Linked DNA regions of Xenopus tropicalis. The main gene of each other region encodes a partner of the protein of the gene in region 5 in a complex. Links are inferred from orthologs where the notes say so. Each region holds a gene or a part of one and is shown on either strand. Other genes may lie near its edges.

What was found.
Region 1: meaf6 (region 5) and kat5 share a complex: the UniProt entries of both Homo sapiens proteins name them as parts of the nuA4 histone acetyltransferase complex. The link is inferred for Xenopus tropicalis from reciprocal best matches to the Homo sapiens genes MEAF6 and KAT5.
Region 2: meaf6 (region 5) and kat6a share a complex: the UniProt entries of both Homo sapiens proteins name them as parts of the MOZ/MORF complex. The link is inferred for Xenopus tropicalis from reciprocal best matches to the Homo sapiens genes MEAF6 and KAT6A.
Region 3: meaf6 (region 5) and morf4l1 share a complex: the UniProt entries of both Homo sapiens proteins name them as parts of the nuA4 histone acetyltransferase complex. The link is inferred for Xenopus tropicalis from reciprocal best matches to the Homo sapiens genes MEAF6 and MORF4L1.
Region 4: meaf6 (region 5) and brpf3 share a complex: the UniProt entries of both Homo sapiens proteins name them as parts of the MOZ/MORF complex. The link is inferred for Xenopus tropicalis from reciprocal best matches to the Homo sapiens genes MEAF6 and BRPF3.
Region 6: meaf6 (region 5) and epc1 share a complex: the UniProt entries of both Homo sapiens proteins name them as parts of the nuA4 histone acetyltransferase complex. The link is inferred for Xenopus tropicalis from reciprocal best matches to the Homo sapiens genes MEAF6 and EPC1.
Region 7: meaf6 (region 5) and jade2 share a complex: the UniProt entries of both Homo sapiens proteins name them as parts of the HBO1 complex. The link is inferred for Xenopus tropicalis from reciprocal best matches to the Homo sapiens genes MEAF6 and JADE2.

The regions. Positions count from the first base shown.
Region 1 is NC_030680.2:37,908,651-37,912,754, forward strand, and holds the start of kat5 (histone acetyltransferase KAT5), read left to right. Parts: upstream 1-1,304; 5' UTR 1,305-1,312; coding exon 1,313-1,321; intron 1,322-1,899; coding exon 1,900-1,966; intron 1,967-2,511; coding exon 2,512-2,580; intron 2,581-3,721; coding exon 3,722-3,858; intron 3,859-4,104. UniProt on the Homo sapiens protein: Catalytic subunit of the NuA4 histone acetyltransferase complex, a multiprotein complex involved in transcriptional activation of select genes principally by acetylation of nucleosomal histones H2A and H4.
Region 2 is NC_030679.2:130,478,552-130,482,051, reverse strand, and holds part of kat6a (histone acetyltransferase KAT6A), read left to right. Parts: intron 1-103; coding exon 104-265; intron 266-1,948; coding exon 1,949-2,042; intron 2,043-2,369; coding exon 2,370-2,601; intron 2,602-2,739; coding exon 2,740-2,959; intron 2,960-3,500. UniProt on the Homo sapiens protein: Histone acetyltransferase that acetylates lysine residues in histone H3 and histone H4 (in vitro). Component of the MOZ/MORF complex which has a histone H3 acetyltransferase activity. May act as a transcriptional coactivator for RUNX1 and RUNX2.
Region 3 is NC_030679.2:118,095,689-118,099,877, forward strand, and holds the start of morf4l1 (mortality factor 4-like protein 1), read right to left. Parts: upstream 2,801-4,189; 5' UTR 2,737-2,800; coding exon of another isoform or gene 2,697-2,736; intron 1-2,696. UniProt on the Homo sapiens protein: Component of the NuA4 histone acetyltransferase (HAT) complex which is involved in transcriptional activation of select genes principally by acetylation of nucleosomal histones H4 and H2A.
Region 4 is NC_030678.2:65,009,533-65,013,032, reverse strand, and holds part of brpf3 (bromodomain and PHD finger-containing protein 3), read right to left. Parts: coding exon 3,365-3,500; intron 1-3,364. UniProt on the Homo sapiens protein: Scaffold subunit of various histone acetyltransferase (HAT) complexes, such as the MOZ/MORF and HBO1 complexes, which have a histone H3 acetyltransferase activity.
Region 5 is NC_030678.2:86,136,397-86,140,586, forward strand, and holds the start of meaf6 (chromatin modification-related protein MEAF6), read right to left. Parts: upstream 2,801-4,190; 5' UTR 2,790-2,800; coding exon 2,700-2,789; intron 1-2,699.
Region 6 is NC_030682.2:22,921,577-22,925,612, reverse strand, and holds the start of epc1 (enhancer of polycomb homolog 1), read right to left. Parts: upstream 2,801-4,036; 5' UTR 2,523-2,800; coding exon 2,370-2,522; intron 2,243-2,369; exon of another isoform or gene 1,318-2,242; intron 1-1,317. UniProt on the Homo sapiens protein: Component of the NuA4 histone acetyltransferase (HAT) complex, a multiprotein complex involved in transcriptional activation of select genes principally by acetylation of nucleosomal histones H4 and H2A.
Region 7 is NC_030679.2:26,303,134-26,306,633, forward strand, and holds part of jade2 (protein Jade-2), read right to left. Parts: coding exon 3,456-3,500; intron 915-3,455; coding exon 52-914; 3' UTR 1-51. UniProt on the Homo sapiens protein: Scaffold subunit of some HBO1 complexes, which have a histone H4 acetyltransferase activity. Acts as an E3 ubiquitin-protein ligase mediating the ubiquitination and subsequent proteasomal degradation of target protein histone demethylase KDM1A.

The DNA.
Region 1 (4,104 bases), on a different chromosome or scaffold from region 5:
CATACCATGGCAATTGGTCGTTTAGTTGGACAGGTTAGAAAATTTCTGTTGCATAACAACATTCTTTATATAGTCTTTTTTTATGTTTAGGAGTGGATAGGAATTAGGTGATCAACCCTATGCATGCAGCAGGACTTTTAACCTCATCAGTGCTTCTGCTTTAAAATGTTACCTTTACAAAGCCTTGCAATTAAATGCAATAACAGTTATACTAGAAAAGAAAAAACACTTAATTCTGTTTTGAGCCCTTTTTAGCATGTTTCTAAAGTCCGATTATAGATCTGCTCTGAAAAAGCTGAGCATTTCTTTAATATGTTGTTGTTTCAAATTCATTATATTCATTATACACTGGGTCCCACAAGAAAATGTTTTTTTAGGCATTAAAACTTTGAGGAAGATGTCAGTTTCTCACAGATAGAAATTATGCATTATCCAGAACCCTTGCCTGGCCTGTACATTTCTTGATTCCCAAGCAACCACTGGGTTATTGTTGTTATACCTCCGGGTCCTTGTGTCTTTGCCTGTTGCTACTAAGCAGCTTTCACTTACGTTTATATATACAACAATAAATAGAGTATATTGTCAGTCCATGAGCTGAGGTGACAGTAAAGCAGAGCATATTAGAACAATGCCCATTTGATCTTACCTGTTACTTCACTGCTTATCAGAAATTAATTTTATATATTTGTGTTAAAGTTACAGAAGTTAATCTTCTGCCTTAGCTATTGTGGTTCCAGATGATCAATAACGTAATTTATTTCCATTACATACAGCATAGGTCATTTCTCACTAGCCATTGCTTATACAACACACATCAAGGAAAAGAAACAAAGGCATTGGCATAACCAGAATTTACTGGGACCCACATCCCTTTAGAGTCCCCTTTGATGGGAATAAATGTTTCACACACATTCGCAACCAACCTCTGTATACTACACTGTTTTTACTATTACACACATGCGTAACTCCGTTTACGGAAGTGTTTTGGGCGGATCGCTATCACTGGAACGCATGGTGCGTGTCAAATCGAAAAAGGGGAAACAATTACCGCCTTTTTGCTATTGCTGCCCAGGCGAATGCCTGGTAATTAATACTATATTTATATTTGTCCAGTATGCTCCAGTTATTACAAAAAATATATTTCTTTAAAATTTCATAACCTGTTCCAAATCAAGGACAAAGGTGAGTTTTAGAGGCTCGTAAAAATGCTATGCTTATTCCGGCGCGACTTCTTTGCCCTTCGATACGGTTGTCAAGGAAGGGGGAGGCGGCTGCGAGGCTGGAAAGAAGGAAGTCGCTTTAAAGCAAAATCATGGCGGAGGTAAGATTTATTGTTTAGCTCTTATCGCTATGTATGCGCAATTGTAGGTGATATTTCCACAGAATATAGTTACATGCAAAGCGTAGGATACGAAAAGGGGCTGGAATTTTGCGTTATCCATTTCTTTTATGTCAAGAGAACCTCTCTGTATTATGAGGCCATAGAAACATTTAATCATATTGACCAAACATTGGCTGTCGCTTCTTGCATGGCCGTATATCAGCTGCTGTGAATGCAAATTCCAATTGCTTGTAAGGTTCCCCATTTATATTCCCCATTAATGACCATGTTATGTCAGGATTTCCTCAGACAAATTACTGCATCTTGAGCCATATTACATTTGGTTTTCTATATTTGTTTTTCAGCTGATCTGTCTAGGATTTATTTCCTCATTATTACTCCTTTTAGATGTGCTGTTAGTTATTGTATCTCACACATTGACACCTTTTATGTTGTACTTTATTATTTAAAGGGGACATAAACTGTCAGGAACAAGTATTTGCCACTACATTATACAGCCATTAAAATAATACACTGTTAAGTTGCCCGTTTCTCATTTATCCGTGACTGATTTTCAGGCAGAGATTGTGGAGGGTTGCCGATTGCCTGTACTTCGCAAGAATCAAGATAATGAAGTTGAATGGCGTAAGTACTACATAGCTTGAAACGCACTGTAATAAATATTGCAGAAATATAGCTTGTACAGGTATAGGACCCATTATCCAGAATGCTCGGGACCAAGGGTATTTCGGATAAGGGGTTTTTCCATAATTTGGTTCTTCATACCGTAAGAAAAAAATCACAAAAACATTCATTAAACCCAATAGGACTGTTTTGCCGCCAATAAGGATTAATTATATCTTAGTACAGATCAAATATAAGGTACTGTTTTATTATTACAGAGAAATAGGAAATCAATTTTAAAATTCTACATTATTTGATTAAAACAGAATCTATGGGAGATGGGCTTTCCGTAATTCGGAGCTTTCTGGATAACTGGTTTCCGGAAAATGGATCCCATACCTGTACTTGTTTATGTTTACAAGAGTGTAGAATTCTGTGTGTTTTTTATTTATATGGTGAATTTTCATTCAGATGGTTTGTGAAGAAGCAAAGAAATAAAATGTAATTCATAATAAAATATACCGTTTTTGTAACCACTTCTTTTGTCTCTGTTTAATCCTCTCTAGCACTTGCTGAAATTCTGAGCATCAAGGAACTTACAGGGAAGAAACTATTCTATGTGCATTATATAGACTGTAAGTTTATATTTAAATATGGAGTTTAATGTTTCACTTAGTATTACATATATCCTGCATATTACATATAGTAATATGCAGGATACATGGCTTAAATAATGATATGTACTGAAACTAGGCTTGAGCTGCTTAAAGGGGAGCAATCATGAAAAATGTTTTTAGAATATTGAAAATATAAAATCTAGACAAACATTTTGACAATGTATAGCATTTAGAAATGTTGCACTGTTACAAAGTTATGGCTAATTATTGAAGCAGCCTCCCATTCGCCACCCTCCAGAATCTCTGTGTGAGTGACAGAGCATAGTGAAAGCTGATTTGCTGTGGCATGTCATGAGGCTCAACAGCAAACATGTGCAAAGGGGAAGTAAAGGAATTGAGCCGGGCTGGGCTAGGGGCTGATGAAGCTGCATTTGTACATATAACAGCAAAGCAGCTTATTGTTTATATCCTTTATATCCTCATATACACAGCACTTCTGACTCTTTTGCATTCAAGATTGTGCTGCTCACCAGCAGGCTTAGATCAGCTGCCAGTTGCCCTCTTGCAATTTACACATGCAGAAACAAATTTTTATTCAATACAGGTGTGACAGTTGTGACAAAAGAGTGTATAAAAGACACTCCCTCCATACCAGTGACATACCTATTGCAGCAATATTTCAGACCTCTGCACAGGCAACTGTGTATGTACAGGCACACAGATTCCTGTATGTTGGATTCACAGACACCTATGTCGTCAGAGCCCTTCTGTAGACTTTCTTTCAGGCTTCTTGATTGGCCAGCCAAATCAGGCCCACTTTGTCAGTCTGTAGCATTTACTCTGCTATAGCTAGTCCATGTCTTTTTTTAGAAAATGCCATATATTCTGTTATCAATTAGCTTGCATATTATAATGTAGGGATGCACCGAATCCAGGATTTGGTTCGGGATTCAGCCTTTTTCGGCAAGATTCAGATTTGGCGAATCCACAGTCCTGGTGGAACCAAATCTGAATCCTAAAATTCATGTGACTTTTTGTCACGTAAACACAGAAGTTAAAATTTTTTAACCTCTTCTAATTCTTATTGCTAGCATTTTTTTCTCTTGTAAAATTATTTCAGTCTCTTTTTTTTACTTTTTTACTCTATTAATCCCCCCAGTTAACAAGCGATTAGATGAGTGGGTTACTCATGATCGTTTGGATCTTAAGAAGATTCAATTTCCAAAGAAAGAGGCAAAAACTCCAACAAAGAATGGACTACCTGGATCAAGACCAAGCTCCCCTGAGAGAGAGGTGGTAAGTGCTTGGGCACTCAAAGAAACTGGTCATGTCAATCTGTCTTGCAGGGATGATGTTGACCATAACAGTTATCCCTGCACCTTACTACTAAAATAAGTGCAACAGAAAGTAGCAGGTAGTATTGCTTTAGCAGAACTAATGCCACTCTGCTCCTTTGGGCTTTGGGAGATATCAGTTTCTTCCTGTGCCCTCTTTAAAACAAAGATACCTGCATGTTCCTCCCTCTTCTCCAAGTCATCCAGT
Region 2 (3,500 bases), on a different chromosome or scaffold from region 5:
CAAAGCCACAAATGGGCAGAAATAAGGTGCGGGGGGGGGGGGGGGGAGAAAGAGGTGAAACTGCTCAGTATTGGATTATATGTTCCTATTAACATTTCTTTAGGTGGATGGAAAGGTGAGCACCATCTACTGCCAAAACCTCTGCCTTCTGGCCAAGCTCTTCCTCGACCACAAGACCCTCTATTATGACGTGGAGCCCTTTCTCTTCTATGTGCTGACCCAGAATGACTCGAAAGGCTGCCATCTTGTTGGATATTTCTCCAAGGTGAGGGAAAGGGGCTGTTTGCTGTGCACCTGTGTTTTTCTCACTAAGGAAGAACGTCCCCTGATTCAGCTTCTTCCCAAAGTAGGTTACGCGTAGTTCCAGCTACCTTCAAAGCCAGATGGCAAGCAAATGGATGAATAATGAGGAGCCCTGATACGATAGTGCTGTGGCAGTGTTCTTAAAGGGACCCCCTCACTTTAATTTTTCAAATTTTTTTTTTTTTTTTTTTTATGTTAATAGTTGATTGTATTCATATATGTTTAAAGGGGTGGTTCACCTTCAGATTAACTTTTATTATGTTATAAAATGGACAGTTCTTATCAACTTTTCAACTGTTCTTTATTTTTTAGTTAAATTATTTGCCACCTTCTAACCATTTTCAGCTTTCAAATTCCCAATGGCCCATAACATATAGCAACAGAGATAACACCCTGTTAAAATCCATGGAAAATGGCATTGTTGCAAAAGCTCTAGATAAGAAAATCAGCCTTCCCAGCACTCTTATCTCTCTCATCTAGATAATCAGCAATGCCCGGGAGATGGCTGCTTCAATAGGCTCCTTCGATTCTGGTTGTTTGGTGACCCTAGCATTTAGTAGCAAAGGTTCCACGTGCCAGGTTTCTGCGCTGCTAAGGAATGCAGGGTGGCGTGTCAGTGCCAGCAGTCGGAGATGACCCTGCTCTAATTGTACGGCAGATTCCAAGTCTATAGAATGACATGCCAGAAGCTCTACATCAGAGGCTTCCACGGGGTTCTAATGACTTGGTGAATGCAGAAAGCTGTGTCCTAGAGAATATGAAAGGCTTTAGGGCTCTTTAGTCAGGCTTCAGAATTCTAAATAAGGCTGGTTCCCAGGAGTTCTCTCTTTGTGGCTATAGCAGCATGAAGCTCATCTTTCATCCTTATAATCAGCAGTGAGCTGCAAGCTTCAGAGGGTTCGTGCCAGTGCTGATGACACCGGCCTGTAATCACCCGTCTGAAATCCCAGCGTAAAAATGTCTCTCATCTCCCACCCAAAAGTGACATTTTGTGGACTAATAGGGAATTTTGTTGCAATGCCTACATTCTGCACCCCATACGCAGCTGTGTTGCATGCAAGCAGTGGTCCATTACAGATCCATACAAGTCCATTACAAACTCCATGGATATACACTTAATTACAAATGCAGATTATTGTGCTCATGGTAAGTCGTAATGCAAGCAAGGGCTGGCCAATAGGCAAATGCAAGGTTAAAGAGAAATTGTACAACTGTGATTGGCATAAAATCCTCAGACTGCGCCCTCTGGTGGCCAGACTTGCTTAAACGTGCAAGAATTAGGTCCATTTCTTAGAGGGCCACAGAGTGCTCTTCCTGTTTAAGGTTGCTAGGGCAACTACCTTGTTTAAAATCTTGGTTGCTGATGAAAAAAAATGGAAAAACTTGAAACCCACAGCACAATATGCAGATCAGTTGCAGAGTCTATTGTGATACATATATAAAGGTGAATATTGCCTTTAAGAATGAGCAGCTTCTGCTTCAGCACCCTACTATGAGAAACCCTCCTACCCCCCTCCTCCTATAAAATAAAGCCTTCCCCACTAACCCGTTTATCCGGTCCATAGAAGCCATGTATGTGATTCTTGTATAATACTGGGCCTGATCCACGCTCTGATGCATCTTTGTGTTTCCCTTCCATCCCCAGGAGAAGCACTGCCAGCAGAAGTACAACGTGTCCTGCATCATGATTCTTCCACAGTACCAGAGAAAAGGATACGGCCGCTTCCTTATAGACTTCAGTAAGTAAGGGGGGGGAGGGGACATACTTGTTAACACTATATGGGAGCTGTTTGCTTAGATGTATTCCACTGCTTTAGAAGCGCTTTATGCAAACGTTACTCTCCATATGTCCCCTTCATTGACATCCAGGACTGGTTTCATAGAGTGTCTAGAAGTGCAGACATTCTCTCCAAATATTACCTGGCTTTTAGGCTGGATCCCTATCCAAGGCACTGTGCCCCGCTGGGGGAGAGCCCAAGCTCCCTGCATTACTGAAGGCATCGGCTTCTTACTGATGTATGATCCAATGTATAGTAATGCACAACACCTTTGCTATTTCCTCCTAGGTTACCTACTTTCTAAACGAGAGGGGCAAGCAGGATCCCCAGAAAAGCCACTTTCCGATCTGGGTCGGCTCTCTTACATGGCGTACTGGAAAAGTGTGGTACTTGAGTGTTTACATCACAACCGAGAGCACCAGCTAAGCATCAAAAGGCTCACCAAGCTGACTGGTATCTGCCCCCAGGACATTGCGGCCACGTTGCACCAACTACGTATGCTGGAACTTCGTGGAGACCGGTGAGCTCCTGCTGCTGCTGTTATACTTATTTGGGGCTTCCTTGTTGCTTCTTTTTCTTTAAATTCACTGGGGAATGTAATCCCCCACCCCTTACCAATGCGTTATATGCTTATCTGTTTGTCCTCTTCTTCGTACAGCGTTGTGTTGGTTCGTCGGGAACAACAAATTCAGACACACATGAGTCGTTTGCAGGCCCGGCCGCGGGAAGTAGAGGTGGATCCAGAAGCTTTGAGATGGACACCTGTTATTGTCACCAACTCTGTGGTCTCGGATGAAGAGGAAGCGGAATCTGAAGAAGAAGAGGATGAGGAGGAGGAGGAGGATGAAGAACAAAGAAGTCCTCTGAAAGACAACAGTGTGAGTATGGCAGACTGTGTAACCATACTGCTAGCCTGCTCTTCTGTTCTTAGTCTTGTTCAGTCACTTACCTGCTATACATTGAATGATGTGATATGAACGAAATCACTGATTTAGGCTCTGAGCTGGGCCTTCCCTTGGTAGCCATAGTCTAGCTCGGGGATCCCCAAACTTTATACATGTGAGCCACATTTAAATGGAAAAAGTGTTTGGGAGCAACACAAGCATTAAAAATGTACCTGGGGGTGCCAATGAGCTATAATTGCCTACTTATTAGCCCCTGTGTGGACTAGCAGCCTACAGAAGGCTCTTTTTGACATTATATTTGGTTTTTATGCAACCAAAACTTACCAGAAGTTCAAAAATAAGTAGATGCTTTGAGGCCACGGGGAGCAACATCCAAGGGGTTGGGAAGCAACATGCTATTCATGAGCCACTGGTTGGGGATCACTGGTCTAGCTCATACTTATTTTAAATAAACATACTTACCTTACAGTTTAATGTTAATGGGGAGGGAAGTAAAGTTTTATGTGTACAAATC
Region 3 (4,189 bases), on a different chromosome or scaffold from region 5:
CCAGATTGGGCAAAGATATACACTGACGGGTCCTGGGGTGTGGTTCTTTACCACCTTAGATTAGACAAATACTAAATTCCCCATTCACATACGGTCATACTGCACAATCTGGAACCTGCCCAAACACAAGCCATTTAGGATGCCCATGAGTAGGCAAGCTTTAGAGCATATGCAAGACTAAAAGTTTAAGCAGCACTGGTATAGCCAATATACAAACTTGCTACACAGAGATCCGTATGTTAGTAAGTCTAAGCACAGGATCTTTTAATTTACTCACAGTAAAATTCTTCCGGTGACAACTGGGAAAACAGCAATTGCAACAGAAGGTAAAGTGGATACTAGAATATACAGAATATATACAGAAGCTGCCATGAATCCTTTCTGCCTTCCTCTGGCTAAAAGTACAAAGAGCAACTTCTTTCCCCCTATGGCTTTTCCAAATCTTGCACAAGCAGCCACTGTCTCACTGGCAGGGTAAGCACAAGCCTCCTATAACAAATGGTATCAATCATATTTACACACACACTAAGTAGTAAAAATGGTGTGTGGTGTTACAGTTCAACAACTGTGGCTGGTAAACCATGGCCACAAGGTTAGTGGTAAATCAGGGGGCATATTTATTACAGTGTGTAAGCCAACATCACTAGTGATGGTGCCCATAGCAACCAATCAGTATTTAGAATTTGACAGTTACTTACAAGTTAGAAAACAAAAGATCACCAGAGATGTTGGCTTACACACTAAAAAAAAAAAAAAATATGCTGAGGTGTGTTGACAGCAAAGTCCTCTGGTGCAGAACAGCAGTAGTTAAAACACCAGTGTCACCACTGGTATTTAATAGCAAGGGCCCCTGTTCACACACAAAGAGGACCTCTGAGCGTGTGAACCTCCATGCAAAAAGTGACAGACCATTAGGAGTTGTGACAGATGGAGAGGAGCATTTTGACTTAACTGCATAAGCCTTTCCTCTAAAAAAGCATATCATAGTAAGGGCAACTCCATTAGGTTTCTGATATGTTAAAAAGGCAGCTATACATACACCAACAGTGTCAATTAATTTAAGCTGTTGATTGGCAGCAGAAAGAGCTCATTCTCTAGATGAGACATTCTCTATACCAGTGGTTGTCTGGCTTTATTAGTTCTAGACTCCACCACCCATGGCCACCAAACCTAACCTCATAACATGACTAAAGATATCTGAAAGAGACTGTTCCACATACTACTAGGTCAGGAAATAAGTTTTTATCCCAAATCTCACAAAGACTGGACTTCAGGCTAGACTGTCAAGTGTAACTAGAAGAGCAAATTGACAACTCCAAATTTCACTAATAGGGATATGATTCAGTGACAGTACAGTCCCAATGTTTCTTCATTAATGTCTTTGGCCAACAGTGCTGAGATCCACAGATGCAGAGAGATCCAACTACAGCAGCAACAGAAAATGAAGAAAGGGCTAAAGAGGACAAAGATGCTGTAAGGCAGGACTATGGTGGACTATTCTGGAATGACAGAACAAGAAATCAGATTCCTCACATTTTGATGCAGTACTAGAACACATGCTGGTGAGAGATTTAGAAGCAAGCCTGCTCTTCACTCTACCAAGATAGGACCTTTGTGACAGCAAAGTGATATAGGAATGGTGTAAAGTTAGTGGACCTAACCTTGCCCATTAAGGGCTCTGCCACACAGGGAGATTAGTCGCCCGCGACAAAACTCCCTGTTCGCGGGCGACTAATCTCCCCGAGTTGCCTTCCCCTGCCATCCCACCGGTGACTTACATGTTTGCCGGTGGGATGGCGGGTCATGGCAACTCGGGGAGATTAGTCGCCCGAGACAAGGGAGATTTGTCGCGGGCGACTAATCTCCCCGTGTGCCAGAGCCCTAAGAGTAAGGAAGGTGCCAAAGCAACAAGACTTTTGTTTGGGTGCAGGTTTGTAGAGAGAGCAGCTGGAAGGCCACATTTTCCATCCCTGCACTAAACACAGATCAGGTCAATATAAACCAACACCCCCATTACAACTGGTCAAGCTAAACACTGTATTTCTGCATGTGTCAGGCACAAGAAGCCGTAGGCAAGCCTATCCCCGTCCAGCTGCTCCCTATACAAGCAAGGCATTCTTATGAAGTCATGGTCCCGTCACTCCCACAATGGCGAAGAGGTAACCAAGCGTCTGAGCTACTGTCGCGCTATAAAAACGGGGTAACCAACCTGCGACTGCCCATCTGAGCTACTGCCGCACTGAGGCACGGCGCACAACAAAGATTTCCCGCTTGCTGCGCCTGCAGACAATGCCACGCCCCCTCCCCCATAAGGAAAATGCGAGATTTTACACGGAACACACTCTGCTGCGACTTCCCCACTCGAACTACATTTCCCAGCTTCCCCCATACAGCTAACCACGGCGGTCCTCAGGCTAGAGAACTGAACGATGTATGTCACCCCTTTAACGCAGTAAAGGCGAGGGGCGGATTTGTTTGACTGCAACTCTCAGACATTCGTAAGAGCTTGTATTGCCAGTTGCAGCCGAACAAATCCAAGAGCCGCAGATGCGATATCTTTCAGCCCATTAACTGCGCGCATTATTGGGGCACAGCGCTCTGCCGTCTGGTCTACCGCTCGGCGTTCACTTAGAGCAAAGGGGTGAGTGAAGACTACGGTGTAATGGTGGAAGCCACGTACAATGGCTTATGCTTACCCTCTTGGAACTTAGGCCTTGGGTCCTGCTTCGGCGCCATTTATAAACTCCGCGGCTCCCGGGAACGGATCCGCCGCATCTACTCACCGCGCGGACCCGCACGTCACCGCACGCCGCCTGCGCATGCGCGCAGGGATATGCCCAATGTGGCGAGCATGCGCAATAGCCACTAGCCCTCCCGGGGCACTATGGGAAATGTAGTTCGGCTTTAGTGGCGCAACCTCCCCCACCCTCACAAACAAAACAAGCATCTTCGCATTTCTGCTACAGTGGAAATAAGATGGAATGTTAATAAATAACATTTACTGTTCAAGACTAAATGCTAGGTAGGTACCTCAGGTATCTATTTCTATATCGATTTTAATGTTACTCGAGGCTGAATGCTTAGTTTACATATTCCAGAAAGTATTTTTTCATACAACGGCGCAAAATCTCACGCATTAACGTTTACTTAGTGTCTGGAAATACATAAGGCAAAATTTACCGAATGAAAACGTTACGCCCAACGTGGGGCTCGAACCCACGACCCTGAGATTAAGAGTCTCATGCTCTACCGACTGAGCTAGCCGGGCGCTGTTAATTCCGTTAATTTGCGCTCTAGTTACTAATAAGTATAAAGCAAAGTGAAATTTTCTCTGTTCTATCTATGGATTCTGGTCTTTTTTCCTCATAAAGTGTCAATTTACACTAATAACTCTTGCACACTCCTGCAGGGCAGGTATAAGCACAGAGGTCACCCACAGAGGCCAGCAAACAGTGGCATAACTAAAAGCTAATGGGTCTGACATTAAATTTATTTTAGCCCCCCCCCCTTAAAATTTACAAATAAGACAATTTTTATAAATCTATATTGCAGCTGTTTATTAGTCAATATCTTACAGGACCTCCTATTCCTCCTGGCAGTCCGGGACTGCAGCAGTGGCGTAACTATAGAGGAAAACCAGAACATATAGGGGCACAATTACTAATCCACGAACGTCCGAAAAGGGTCCGAATGCGTTTTTTCCGTAATGATCGGTATTTTGCGATTTTTTTAGTAAATTGTCGCAACTTTTTTGTAGCCGACGAAAGTTTCGGATTCATTCAAGCTTCAGTATCGTGACTTTCCTTGGGCCAGGTTGGAGCTGCAGAGTGTCATTGAGCCCTATGGGAGACTTTCCTTGGGCCGGGTTGGAGCTGCAGAGTGCCATTGAGCCCTATGGGAGACTTTCCTTGGGCTGGGTTGGAGCCGCAGAGTGCCATTGAGCCCTATGGGAGACTTTCCTTGGGCCAGGTTGGAACTGCAGAGTGCCATTGAGCCCTACGGGAGACTTTCCTTGGGCCAGGTTGGAGCTGCAGAGTGCCATTGAGCCCTACGGGAGACTTTCCTTGGGCCAGGTTGGAGCTGCAGAGTGCCATTGAGCCCTACGGGAGACATTCCTTGGGCCAGGTTGGAGCTGCAGAGTGCCATTGAGCCCTATGGGAGACTTTCCTTGGGCCGGGTTGGAGCAGCA
Region 4 (3,500 bases), about 21 Mb from region 5:
ATTAGCTTAGTTGCTTTTCTTTGGACATTCTCTATTTCATTAGCATACCACATGAGCAGTAGAGACCCAAACTGCAATGAATAACCTTCTTCCCCACAATGATTTCGCTTAAGCATTTAAACACCATATGCTGTGTCTGCAGACAACTTGTTTAAGCTGAGTGGGTTATTAAAGTACCCATAAATAAGGCTTGTCCAAACTTTGCAGCATTTTCTCCTGGCAGGAGATAAGCCTCTTCCTTTTTGCTTACGCGTGGGGTCGGTCTAAAGTACTGATGTGCAGGCTGACTAGATACCAGTGGAATCCACAGGTGCCAAGCTTGGTTATACGGTCAACTTGCAAGTAAACCTAATTGATTTACCTACACCATGCTGCGTAAAGACCTGCATACCTATCTGACCAATGACAATGCAGAAATCCATAGAATTAGACAACTAAGCAGTGCAAATTTTACAAACCAGAGTTTATTGTAAGTTTATTTTAACCCTTTCACATGGTGGTAGAAAAAGGCTCTACATGCAAGCATGTAGAGCATACATGCTCTGCAGAAAGTCAGGAGGCTGGGGGGCTGTAATGTCAGTCTTGGGGTGCAATTGCAACCTTCAAGCAGCATATGCGATCGCATCTGCAGCTTCTGCCTGCCCCCCCCATTCACTTCCTGCTGTGTAGCACTCTGCTAAGACAACCCTCCAGGACCCCCCATGTAATCCCTGCATCCATCCAGCTAAGGTACAGGAACAGGTAAGTGGTATTTATTTGCACTAATATACACACTTACATACATTTACACACACATTAGCAGGTTTTTGGGGTTTGTTTGGTTTTTTTTTTGCTTTTTTCATTTTGCAACCTTTTGCACTCTTATAGACACAACTTTTAGATATGTATACACAAACACTTTTTTTTTTTTTTACTTTTTACCACTGTCTTTTTTTCCCCCCCCAAAAACGTGACTATTGGATCAGGTATTTTAACCACTAATAACGCTGTTGTGTTACTTATTTTGTTTTATTTACTCCGGCTCCACGACTCCGACTCCTGTTTTTAATATGCTAATAGCCCATTTCTGGAGTTTTGTGTGACATTATGTCCAATTTGCTTTTTTTCCTCCCTTTTTTGTTCTGTTCCAATACACACAAAGGGAATAAACATGTTTATAGCAAAAAATTTCTGGGATGCCAACAATTTTGGCCATGACTGTATTCTCTTCCATCAGCAAAAAGTGCAAGCAATTGATTTAAATCATTGTTCCTACAGACAAAATTCAGGAACAAAAAACTCCTGTGCACATAGCAACAGGCAGCTGCAATTGTTATTTGAAGTTCCTAAACCTGAAAGTTTTGCCAGTCAGTCCTTTCTCAACCTGCCCATTACAGCTTCTAATGCTAACGGACTAATGCTGCACAAATATGGTAGCCCAAAAATAGAAGACCATGGGGAATCAGAGAGGTAATGTAAAAGCAATGGGCAAATACATTTAAGGCAAAATTATAAATAACATGGAAATGCACTGTTAAGATAGACATAAAACAGGTTTAATTTTGTGTGTCAGTATTTCTTTAAGTCACTTTACAGCAATCAAGGCTTTTTCTGGGCAGTAGTGTTGTTTTCTCCAAAATGCCTTAGCCTAAATGTGTTTTTACTTCAGTATGAACAAGCAGCAAATTAGTGCTTGATGAATGAAATAACTGAATGAATGTTTTTCGGTTTTTAACTTTTATACCAAACACCACCACACATGCTAAAGGGAAACTATACTACATACACATTACAGGTCTCTGTAAAAACAAATGATATTTTAAACACCTTTTGTTACAAATTAAAACTTTTCATGAATATATATTTATACAATATGCGCCATTAGACTATCTAATTAAAATACTAAAAAAAAAAATCCCAGAACATACCCCTGCAAGGTTCACTTCCCTCAGGCAACACAGAGCAGGCAGAGTATGGCACACACAGGCAGGATATGGCACACACAGGCAGGATATGGCACACACAGGCAGGATATGGCACACACAGGCAGCATAGGACAGGCAGAATTATGGCACACACAGGGAGTGTAGTGCACACAGGCTAGGACAGGCAGAATATGGCACACACAAATAGGGTAAGCCAGGCAGAGCATGGCACACACAGGTAGGAAAGGGCAGGGAAAGAGACAGGGAAACCTATCAAGTAACTGATCATGTACCTATGTAAGTAACTGATTATGACTACTCTAAGAACAGTTTGCACTGCAGTACATACAGTGACACTGCTCCTGAAATCTGTCATGGTGTGAACATGTGAACAGTGTGGGGGCCTACAGTATTATTAGTCCAAGGTTTTACAGGTGTGAACAATGCAGGGTCTTACCAGGTGTAGCAATACAGGGTTTTACAGCCTGAATCGGAGTTGTGAATAATGCAGGGGCCAGTTAGTCTCAGTACTGATAGTATTTAAAGCTCACACAAAAATAAGCAGTCACAGCAGCTAGACAGATGGGGCATGGACAGACAGATGCCATTTCCCAAGTGAAAAAAAAAATAATAATTTCAGGGACTGCTCGATTTGCCTTTCTGGAATTAGGAAGTTATTATTTTCCCCTCAGAGGCAAATTGGTGATGGCTTAAAGAATAAGTAAACCTTTTTTTTTTTTCTATCAGTAAAATTACGCTAAACAGCCTCCAGAATTACCTACCTTTGTCCCAGCATTCTCTCTGACCTGGTTCCTCAGAAGTTGATCGTTTTTCTTTGCTTCCTTGTGCAGAGTGAAGCCCCACCCCCACTTCCTGTTCAGTTCTTTCTTCAATTTGACTACCTGTAGTCGACCTAGAGAGCCTTCTGGGCATGCCTGGAGGCAGCAGGAGCCAATCTGTGCATTAGCAGGGTTTTTTTTTTTGATGAGAGACCTAAACAGGAAGTGGGGGCGGGCTTCACTCTGCACAAGGAAGCAAAGAAAAACGATCAACTTCTAACTGAGGAACCAGGTCAGAGAGAATGCTGGGACAAAGGTAGGTAATTCTGGAGGCTGTTTAGAGTAATTTTACTGATAGGAAAAAAAAAGGTTTACTTATTCTTTAAGCCATCACCAATTTGCCTCTGAGGGGAAAATAATAACTTCCTAATTCCAGAAAGGCAAATCGAGCAGTCCCTGAAATTATTATTTATGCTTTTCCCTTTCCTGTGGATCAGCTAGCAGTTAGATGAGTTTTAAATAGGCTGACCTTATGGACATATGTTTTTCTTGCTTAAATTACTGTTACATATTCTTTTAATATTCAATATTAATTACACAACAATAATTTGCTGACCCTTAATTCTGCACTACTCTTTACAAAGGTTAAGAAATGTTAAGGAAGATTAAAACTGTGCTCACCGACATGAAGGAATCTGCATAACAGTCATCACTGGCGCAGAAACTCTTCCACACACAGTCTCCTTCTGCTCTCTTTTTATCTTCTGTTTCTCCCGTCCTCTCTTCCCAGCTCCCTTCTTAGAAAATTTACTGTCCT
Region 5 (4,190 bases):
ACTGTGCAAGTCCAGGGGAAGGCGCCTGAAAACCATAAAACTGATGAATAATCCAAGGAACATCTGCTTACAGAGCTGCTGTTTCGTTTGCTACTTGTCAAACTGTGTTGGGTAGTAAACCATAAACCGAGTAATCACAGACATCATAAAAGCTAAAGTCAACTGCTTTTTGTCCTGCTTTGGTCCCTAGTTCTGGCACACTTTTGAGGGTTAATAGTCTCATTGCAGAGCAATTATGGTTATTCCAGCATTGTCTATTTTAGTAGCCACAACAAGTAGCTGCTACTAGTAGCTCCATGTGTCTTCACCCTTAGGGCTCAGACAGATGGGGAGATTAGTCGCCTGCGACAAATCTCCCTTGTTATGGGCAACTATGCTCCCTGAAATGCCATCCCACCGGTGAGATAGCATATGTGGCGCAGTGATTTGCCAAAGTCGAGGAAGTCAAGGCAACTTCCGCGACTTCGGCAAATCGCCGCGTATGCCATCCCACCGGCAATTTACATTCTCACCAGTGGGATGGCAGTTTGGGGAGTTTAGTCGCCCGATGACTAAACTCCCTGTCTGTCACAGACCTTAAAGGAGAACAAAACCTATTGAAACAAAACTCGCCATTCTCCTGTTCTGCCAAATCAAAACATACTTATTATTCCTCCATTGCCACTGCTGTCAAGTTATTTCCCTCAAGAGAAGAGCTTGCAGCCATCATCTTACATTCATGTGCATCACATTCCCCTTCTATATTGTCTTTATCTCACACCACATAGCATAATGTGCATGCGCAGGGCTAGGGGACACTTAATGGCGCAAGCATTACTATCATATTGAAATTTTCTGAAAGAGAAGGAACTTTAATCTCTACAATGTTTTCATTACTTTTTAAGTGGATCGGCCATTGAAAAACCAGGGGAGGTTGCTCAAAGGCAGGCTGCTGGTAAGCACATGTATGCATAATGATCAGTACTAGCTATATTTATTTTTTTACTTTTGTTAAATACAACGGATTGTCTAATGTTTATGTATAACATGTAAGCGCAAAAAAAAGTTTGCCTTTCAAAAAATAAATCAACTGCTGTTTTAATATTAGGTCACATGCCAATCAAGAAGCTTTGACACCCAAAGTAATCTGCAAACCCCTACCAGGTCATACACAGATGAATATATTGGGTGCCTCACAGATGAGATATTTTAGTGCCATGAATGCAGTCATAGACATTTTATTAAAGAGCTTGGAACTGTTGCTGATAGTTTCTTTGAATATGACAATAAAACACTTACACAACCAATAAACATTTTCTGAAACCGTGCCCTCAATTCAATTCCTGTCAGAGTTGCCCCATCCAAGCTAGGGCTGAACTGATATGAAAGTAGTGGTGTTCCATGTTTAAGTTATATAGTTAGGGTGGACCAGAAGCATAAACAGGCAAGTCTGTGGGGGCCCCATAAGCACCGATGGCAACCCATGTATTCAACAATAAAACCATCTAAGAAATCCCTTTTTCCTCATTGTTGCAACTTATGGGCAGTGACACATGGGGAGATCAGTCGCCGTGGCACCACAATTTGCCGAAGTCGCCATGAGATGAAACTTCGGCAAATCGCACTGCCGCATATGCCATCCCGCCGGTGATTTACATTCTAGCCGGTGGGATGGCATTGCGGGGAGATTAGTCGCCGTCTGTCACTGCCATAAGGATGAAGACACACTGAGCTACTAGTAGCAGCTACTTTTTCAAGGCTACCAAACTCCAGAAAATACCTAGCCATAGACAATACTGAGAACTGCCTCTGCTAAAACACATATAGTGACAATTATCAGCAAATGATTAGCATTGTCTTTTTCAGTAGTCATTCAAGTAGCTGCTCCGTGTGTCTTCACCCCAATGGTTATAAACGTATACCTTTAACAGTGGGATTTTGCATCAGTGCGGTAATTCGTAGCAACCATGCAGCTAATCTTTTGATCTGTCTATTTAAGATAGAAACTAGGAAATCCCGATAGGTCGCTATGGCCCCTTTTTGTAAATAAAAACTCGTGACGTCACAACTAAGACTGAACCAAAAGCTAGGCCCAGACTTGGACGCTATTCTACGAGCTTCATAAACCTGACATAGGTAAAGGAAGCAAATGGGTTTCGTGAAATGTAACAGCAAAACCAGCATACACTATTTAAACCTATTAAAACACGGCTTTCAGTTTGGTTTCAAGCTACATCACTAAGGACGTCTGCAATATTTATTTTTCCCGCCAGCAATGCCACCAAATAGCGGCTGCGCAGGATTAAACAAAATACGTTCCACCATGGCAACACATTAACTGAAATAATACGGTTAAAAATCACACCATTTCGAGAAAAAGATTATTGTAAAACACGCCGATAACGCAAAGAAAGTAAAGAAAACCTGCTAAGTAACCAACGTAAATTAACTCATTTCCGTAACGGTGATGGTTACGCTAAAGGCGCAGCACCAAAAACGACTGTGGAATTACGTACAAAGCGTAACCATACAGCTATTCACAAATACAGATTACGAAATATACGTTACGGACACAAAGGCTTGTGCATAGGGGCTGCGCTATTTTCCTACGGTGTTTGGTTTAAAACTGGGAGGCCTACATTAAACCGAAAATATATTATGTTTTTTTAGAAAATACTAGGTACAAAGAATACGCTAGTGGATGAGGTTTTTTAACTTACTGCTAATTCTTGTTTCCTCTTTACTAGTTCGGCCAGTTCTCGGCGCGTATCCGGGATCTGGGGCGGCGTGGCCTTGTTATGCATCGCCATGATGGAGGAGGAGAGGACAGGGAGGGTCTCGGAGAGGAAGGAATAAATAAGGCCTGGCCTACTTCTTACAGTGCGTGCTACCTGAAATGTAGTTATGGGGGGAGTGTGGATGTAAACCGATAGAATAACCATTCCAGTGTATATCATTAAGCAGATTTTCTCGGAAATTCGATTTGTTTTAATCTTTACAATTTAAATATCGACATAGACTAGGGCTGCTACTTCTTCCCCGTTGTCGTGATTTAACCCCAAAAATGGATTTTCTACAAATTTTTCTTTTATATTGTCTGCGCTTAGTAGGGTGGGCCAGCGGTTCTGAATGATTTGCAAGCTTAATATTACATAAATATAAATAAATGCTGTACTGGTGCAATGTTAAATTCGGTGGTACTTTTTCACGTGGGTGCGTTTTGTATATGCAAAAATTGTTCCGATTTTGTGGAATAGTGGTGACATAAAAGTAGGGTGCAAATGGATCTGGGGGTTAAAAAAAAATAGGATAGATTTATATTTGTGTAGATTGGGGGTGTAACTTGCTGCGGGTCTGGGGCGTGGCCTAAATTATCCTTTTTTTTTTTTTCATTGTTGCTTAGTACAGGTATAGGACCCGTTATCCAGAATGCTCAGGACCAATGGTATTCCGGATAAGGGGTCTTTATGTAATTTGGATCTCCATACCTTAAGGGGCAGATTTGTTAAAATGTGAGTTTAGAGCTTAATACACAAAAACTCACACATGTTCTATTCATTCCTATGGGATTTGAAGAAGCGTATTTACCAATGGGTAAATTCACTGATTGATAAATACACTTCTAAAAATCCCATAGGAATGAATAGAACATGGGTGAATTTTTGTGGATTAAGCTCTAAACTCACATTTTGCTAAATCTGCCCCTAAGTCTACTAAAAAATCAATAAAACATTAATTAAACCCAATAGCATTGTTTTACATCCAAAAAGGATTATTTATATCTTAGTTGGGATCAATTATAAGGTACTGTTTTATTACTACAGAGAAAAAGGAAATCAGTTTTAAAATTCTAAATTATTTGATTAAAATGGAGTCTATGGGAGATGGGCTTTCCGTAATTCGGAGCTTTATGGATAACAGGTTTCCGGATAAGGGATCCTATACCTGTATAGGTAAATTTGGGTATGCATGTTTTAATTAAGTAATATATTTTTTTCTAATATATAATGCTGACATATTTGTACAAAAATGTGTATTGTTCACATCAGTATCCGTCCAGTTTACAGTTAAAGATCTCTCGCGAGTCTTTTTCGGCGATTTCCCGAAATCGCCCCGCCGCATCTGCCATCCCACCGGCGACTTACATTGTCGCCGATGGGATGGCAGGGGAAGGCAACTCGGGGAGATTAGTCGCCCGCGAACAGGGAGTT
Region 6 (4,036 bases), on a different chromosome or scaffold from region 5:
ATATAAGGACAGGTCACATGGCTGTGGCTCCCTGAGAAATGAATATGCCTAGCCCCATCTGAAATTTCAAAACTTAATATAAAAAATCTGTTTGAACTTTAATAAAACAAATTCCAATGCAGGATTCTGCTGGAGAAGCTCTATTGACTGATGTGTTTTGGAAAATAAAAAAATACATTTTCCCATGACAACATTCCTTTAATCACTTATAGCATCATTAAGTTCTTTCAAAAATGCATCAGCCCATCTCTAATCCAACACTAAGTAAAATTTGGATTTAATTTATCTGTCATGGTCTGAAACTGATAATGTGACCTTAAATTAATCACCTACACAACAATGTGCCATCCTGATAAGGTTTACTTCCATGGGGCAGTTCTGAGAAAAGGGCCTTTGTGCCATTAGCCTGAGCTTTGCTGTTCTACACTTTAGGGCTCTGGCACACGGGGAGATTAGTCGCCCGCGATACATGTCATGACAAATCGCGACACAGGGAGATTTGTCGCGGGCGACTAATCTCCCCGTGTGCCAGAGCCCTTAGGGCGAAGACATGTGGATCGATTAAATGCGGTGACTTTTTAAAAAGGCGGTGGCGGCACCATAGGATACTATACAGGACGCTGCAACTAATCATGCGCCGATTTGCACTGCATGGATTAGTTGCCACACGTCTTCGTTCTTACAGCAAAGTAGAACCTGACGAAGAGGCCCACCCCCAAAAGGTTGCTTCATGTGCTGCAGTGTTCCTTGCATGGCCATTTAGTAGGGGTTCCCTATACTTTTTTTAGCACCAGGTTACTTATTTTTGAGAGGCCAGGCGTGTGTAGTTTTTGATTCTGGTATGTTTTGGGTCAGGCCGATACTGAATACTCTGTACAAACAGCAGGTTTGTATTAACTGATGAGTAGTGCCCCAGTGCTTATGGCCCCACTCACGCCAGACAGGTGCAGCAATGACAGGCTGTACGGCCCCAGCTCACACACAGATACAGTCATGTGAATATGTTATGGAAGCTGGGGTGCAGAAGCCCCAAGAATGCAGATGATAACATACACTGACAGACTGCTGGCACGTGCAACCCAACTTGGGGTACTACCATTGCTTACCAATCAGATATACTCCATGCAGTCAGAAACATCAACTGTCTCCTACAGAAGTCCAACAAAGGTCAGAAGGAAAAAGCCAATTCTACTCTCACTTAAAAGCAAAATGTCAACATACTACACTTACATATATTATCTACAGCGAGGCCAATCCCCAGCCCTCACAGCAGCTTCACACTGGGTCCCAAACAAAACATTTCTTTAAAATGCAAAACTGATGATTAACCCAGGGCTGCATTATGGAGAAAATCTGTCAAAATGCAACTACATTACATGGCGCTTTACAGGCATCATTTCTGCCTCACATCAGTCCCTGCACCAGCAGAGCTTACAATCTAAGGTTCCTACAACATTTATATACACTAGTGCCACATTTTATTAGGAGTCAGCTAAGCTGCCTGTATGTGTTGGAGAGACCATTCCAGCCAATGGTTAATCCTAAATAGACAGCAATGCACTGGCCAAACCCTGTGTTACACCCCATTAAATATATACATCTAACAGTATAGCTTTAATCAGAGAACCTTTAGTAGATCATATTACTGACTATATTCCCCACAGCACAAGCTCAAGTCAGCAAAGTGGTTTATTTGTGCATTATGGAGGGATTGTACCCCCCTGGGAGGCATCAGAATGAACTACTACAATGAATAAAACGTGTGCCATGAACTAAGTTTACGCTTAAAAAGCTGATTTATTATATACACACACACACACACACATATATATGACATGGCCGATACATAAGAGATAGTTTCAAGCAATGGCGTGTTTCTATACAACTCCACAAAGACAGCAGAGAAACTACTACAGCATGCCGGCTCTCAGCTGTCAATCAGCTCCCAACGTACACAAACAATCCCACAAGGTGAGCAACTCCTGATCGCCAGCTCCCCCCAGCGACCGCACTTGGAGCTGCAACCCCGCTCAACAACCAGGCCCAACCCCAAAAGACAGGGAGAGAAACACACACAACAAAATGGCGGACCGCGGCCCCATCACGTGACCCCTTTGTGCCTTCCCGGCCGCTAAATTCTTCCCAGGTATCACCGGCGGACACACCGGGGACATATATCCCCACAGGGAGATCCGCTTTAGCCTCACGAGCCACCCCCGAGGATGGAATGACAGGGGGAGAGGTATGTGCGCCATCCCCGTTCCCGTCAGGGAGGAAAATGGCGGCCATTTTGTGTAAGCTTGCGCAGAGCTGGGACCGGGCGGAGAGGGGTAAAAGCGGTAAAGAGAAAGTGAAAAACGGTGCATTACCGACTCCTCTTCCTTCTCCATGCCCGTCGGCATCTGCGGCACGGCCCGGTTGATGGAGGCATACTCGTGCAAGTCCGGTAAATCCTCGCAGCGGAAGACGGGTAACGGTTTGGACGCGTCCAGCGCCCGCGCCCGGAACGATAATTTACTCATGGTGTGTCTAGCAGCGAGCCATGCGACCGACGAGCGGGGAAAATCTCCCGTGCCGCGCTCTCATGGAGCTCTCTCCGCGCCCCCCCTCGCTGCCTCCCCGCCAGCCTTGTTGTTCCGATAATAATGATTAATATTAGACAGGGCGCTTATCCTGGCACTCCCGGTGCCCGTGGCTCAGTTTGGGGGGTGGTTTGGTGGGAGTCTGTGTGCTCCTGTGGGCCAGTCTCTCCCTCCCTCTTCAATACGCCATGGCCAACATGGCGGACATTAAAACTCCGCTGTCTGCTCCCCCAGCCAACCCGAGCTGCGCAGCCATTCCCAGAGTGCATCGCGCGTTTGCGCGCTCTCCGGGCCCGCAGAGAAAAGCGGGGGCGCGCACAGCCGCTTCTCGTGCCCGCGCCTCTGTGACAGGACCCCGGTGCTTGAAGGGTCCCTCCACCTGGCGCCCTGCTGGGATGTGTAACAACACCAACAGCTTCACAAGGGAAATAAACCACTAATATGTGAATAAAAAGAAAATGTCTTTCTAAGCAACTTTATAATAAACAGACATTAAAGTTATTGGCAAACGTTATTGCAATTAATAGCACTGCCTGTCCCTGTTGTAAATCATGAAACAGTGTAGCACAAGTGAACTCTTCTGTCCAGTCAGGACTGCTATCAGCTACATTGTTTGATTTCAGCCTTCCATGCATATGGGCTTATGACTTCAATTGGCTCTCATCAGTGTCAGACTGGGAACCCTAAACCCAGTGTTGGACTGAGATACCAGGGGCCCACCAGAAAACCTTAGACCCCAGGCCCGCTTTCCAAACTATTTTTTTCTCTTTTCCTCACCCAGCCTCTTTATTCTCCTAGTCCCTTTTATTAACATGCTAGCATATATTCTTCCATTTATTTCTCCTCTTTCTTCCCATACTGAAATAGGGAATGAACATGAAACAGGCCAAATGATCAGGAGGGCCCACGGGGAGTTTTCCTGGTATCCTGGTGGGCCAGTCTGACACTGGGTCTTCATACATGGAGGGTTGTCCACTTCAAGCCCCCGTAACAACAAATACAGTCAAACCACAATTTTACATTCTCCAGGGTGCCAAAAATTGGGGTGCTACTGTATCTGCTTTTGTAGCAGTTTCGCCAAAATTTTCACCATAGCCCATAGAAATACAGGTGGCAGCCACATGCCCACCAAAGTCTTGTTGGTTTGTACCAAGAGGAGAACCAGCTTTGGGCTTTTACACACAGGTGATTCGCCCTGCATTTTCGGTGTAATGCGCTGCAGGAAAACACTGTGAAATGCCCGTGTGTAGGAGCCCAGCAGCTATCCAGACCCATTATTCTGACAGCTATGGAGTTATAAAGGAAGTATTCATCTTCCTATGTTGAAGACATTCTTTATCCAGAAGTTATTTCTTATTTAATCTAACCAAGTATTTCATCCTTGGTCATTTTTTAACCTTTGCTTTTTTGGCAGAGTCTGTAGATAGCATTGTTTGCAAATATACATATATGCC
Region 7 (3,500 bases), on a different chromosome or scaffold from region 5:
TAGAAGCAGGCAGAATTTATAAATGACAGTCCTATGAAATTCTCTGGAAAGTTATGATGCCAAAATGCTCATTCTAACAATGTCATCGTTTGAGGACTCAAACTGGTTTAGCTGCACTCTTCCTTCCCTGGATTCCTCTTCTGAGTCGGTCATTTCTGCATCTGAATAGTAGCCATCAGTCTCATCCAAATGGCAGTTAAGCTTGGGCATTTTAGTGACATTAGGTCTATTTGCAGCTTCAGAGGCCTCCATTTTTGATTCCAATCTCGTTTCTATCCCCTTTGGTAATTTAAACCTCACCACTGATTTCGGACAACCCAGTGAGGCAGGCACTTTGACTAGAGAATCAGACTTGGGTTGAGCACATTTAATTGTCTTCTCTCCATTGGTTAAAGGACATGTGTCGGAGCCATTGGCTTTTGGAGCAGGGGAATGGGTCGGTCCCTTTTTAGAAGCCTTTCTGTCGCTAGGTCCTTTGCGGTCCACTTGCACCTTGGCAATTCCTTTACCGTTTCTGCTGGATTTTGAATTCTGGTTACTTGGCTTCTCAGTCTGATCTGGCGAACACTTTATGTTGTTCCACTCCATTAAATCATCTTTATGACACTTAAAAATGTTACTTGGGCTGCTTCTTGGCATTTTTTTTTTACCATTCATTCTCGTTTTGGTTTTCAGTTTCCTTAGAGTTTCAGTCTGTTTGAAAGAAGACTTCAGTGAATTATCCATCATGAAACTCAACAGGGTCTCCTCGTCTTGCAGCAGCTCTTCAGAAAGAAGCCCCGAAGTGTTGGTTTCATGGCGACCGTGGTTTAAAGACCACTGACTCATTTTCATATTCTCGGTACTGATCTGAACAGACTGGGCCAACCAGCTGCTGAAAAATGTTCCATCGATAGGGAAGGATGTGGACAAGCCTAAATGAATGAAGAATAAATAGATAAAAACCATCAGCGTTCACCAGTTATTAAAAAGAAAACCAACACAATTTCACAAATGCTAACATAAATGTAAAAATGTAATTTAAAAAAACATATAACTTACAAATATCTAAATAAAAAGCCTTAGTACTGTGTAAGGTGGACTAATGGCAGCACATCAAATACAGAAAGGATAGGTGCAACAGTAAGAAGAGAATTAAGAAGGAAGAGAAGGCAAGAACAAGGTGATCAATGTAAGTTGTATAATATTAACACATTGTCCTACAGCAGGGGTTGCAAATACGTCGACTGCGGTCCACCAGTCGTTCCCCAGTGGATTTCTGGTGGACCGCGATGAAGCCGGGGATGCGGAAGTGCTGCGTGAATGTGTACGTATGCCTGGTCATCGGTCGATCGCAAAGCCATCCCTGTCCTACAGGCACACTCAACCTCAATCCATACTGAGGAGAGGATTTAGCACCCACCTGTAATCTAACTCAAAAAAAACGGACCGGAACAGGGATTTACTCATCTGCGGGGTGATCCCCTGTGCTTATTGTGGCTACAGATTGCACACAACATTTAGGGAGCGTGGTTCTTTGTATGTGAGAGAATGACCCTATGGATGAACAGGTCCGTGTGCCAGTCTATTTCTTTAAGTTGTATAATATTAGCTTTCCAGTCCTTCACATGCTATTACTTATCTATCAATCAATTATACCTCTCTAAAAATAAAGGCAACACGCAACAAACACTGTTCAGTGTAATCTTCACAGGCAACATTTTTATATAGGGTTGGAAAATGGGCAGAGTATAAGCGGGACTGGCTTTATAAGGGGTAACCTGTCAGTAGAGACGGTCAGGAAAGAAGGTATTACAAATTTATCAGCAATTACACTGCTGGGCTTGTCAAATACTGGCCTTGTGGTAACCCTATTTTTATCACATGAAATTGACATGTATGACAATTATATGAAATGCCTGAATATACACTTTGTATATATTGGTAAAAGAGTAAAAGATGAAAAAAAGACTTCATCATTGGAAGTTTTGTGCTTTTGGTCTTTCTGTTAATGCAACAAAAGGACGCACAGCTGCTGACAGGATTAAATATGGGTGATTATGTTGGCTTTGATTAAATACATTTGGCTAGGAGATCTGGCATGCTGTAATAATTATCCAGGTAATGAATGTAAAAGCATGGTGTAGCACCTCAGTGTTATCCAAAGATCTGAAACTGTGTTGCCAATTACAAGGGAAATCATAACCAAGGGGGAAGCACTAAAGAGATACAATGGTAACATGATAAGCACGGAACAGGTATGGGATCTATTATCCAGAATGCGGGGGACCTAGGGTTTTCTAGGTAAGGAATCAATCCATTGGATCACTGTACCTTAAGCCTAATAAAAATGATTTAAACATAACAAGAATAAACAAAATAACAAAAATAAACTCAATAGGATTGTTTTGCCTCCAATATAAATTCATCCAGTGTAGTTACCATCAAGTACAACTACTGTTTTATTATTACAGCTGTGGGATCAGTTATCCGGAAATCTGTTATCCAGAAAGTTCCAAATTATTGGAAGGCCATCTCCCAGAGAGTCAATTTTATGTAAATAATTCTAATTTTTAAAACCGATTTCCTTTTTCTCTGTAATAATAAAACAGTACCTGTACTTGATCCCAACTAAGATATAATTACCCCTTATTGGGGCAGAACAGCCCTATTGGGTTTATTTAATGGTTAAATGATTCCCTTTTCTCTGTAATAATAAAACAGTACCTGTACTTGATCCCAACTAAGATATAATTACCCCTTATTGGGGGCAGAACAGCCCTATTGGGTTTATTTAATGGTTAAATGATTCCCTTTTCTCTGTAATAATAAAACAGTACCTGTACTTGATCCCAACTAAGATATAATTACCCCTTATTGGGGCAGAACAGCCCTATTGGGTTTATTTAATGGTTAAATGATTCCCTTTTCTCTGTAATAATAAAACAGTACCTGTACTTGATCCCAACTAAGATATAATTACCCCTTATTGGGGGCAGAACAGCCCTATTGGGTTTATTTAATGGTTAAATGATTCCCTTTTCTCTGTAATAATAAAACAGTACCTGTACTTGATCCCAACTAAGATATAATTACCCCTTATTGGGGGCAGAACAGCCCTATTGGGTTTATTTAATGGTTAAATGATTCCCTTTTCTCTGTAATAATAAAACAGTACCTTGTACTTGATCCCAATGAATCCTTACTGGATGCAAAACAATCCTTTTGTGTATATGTACTATTTAAATTAATTTTAAGTAGACTTAAGATATAGAGATCCAAATTACATAAGGATCCCCCTTATCCAGAAAACCCCAGGTCCCAGTTCCAAAACCTGAATAGAGGAAAAAAGTAAATCATTTTTAAAAATTAGAATTATTTGCTCAAAATGGACTCTATGGGAGGTGGCTTTCTTGTAATATGGAACTTTCTGGATAACAGATTTCCAGATAACGGATCCCACAGTTTGGGCTTACCAAGTTCTTCCAAAACAGAATCATTCCCAGTTTTCACCGACTCTT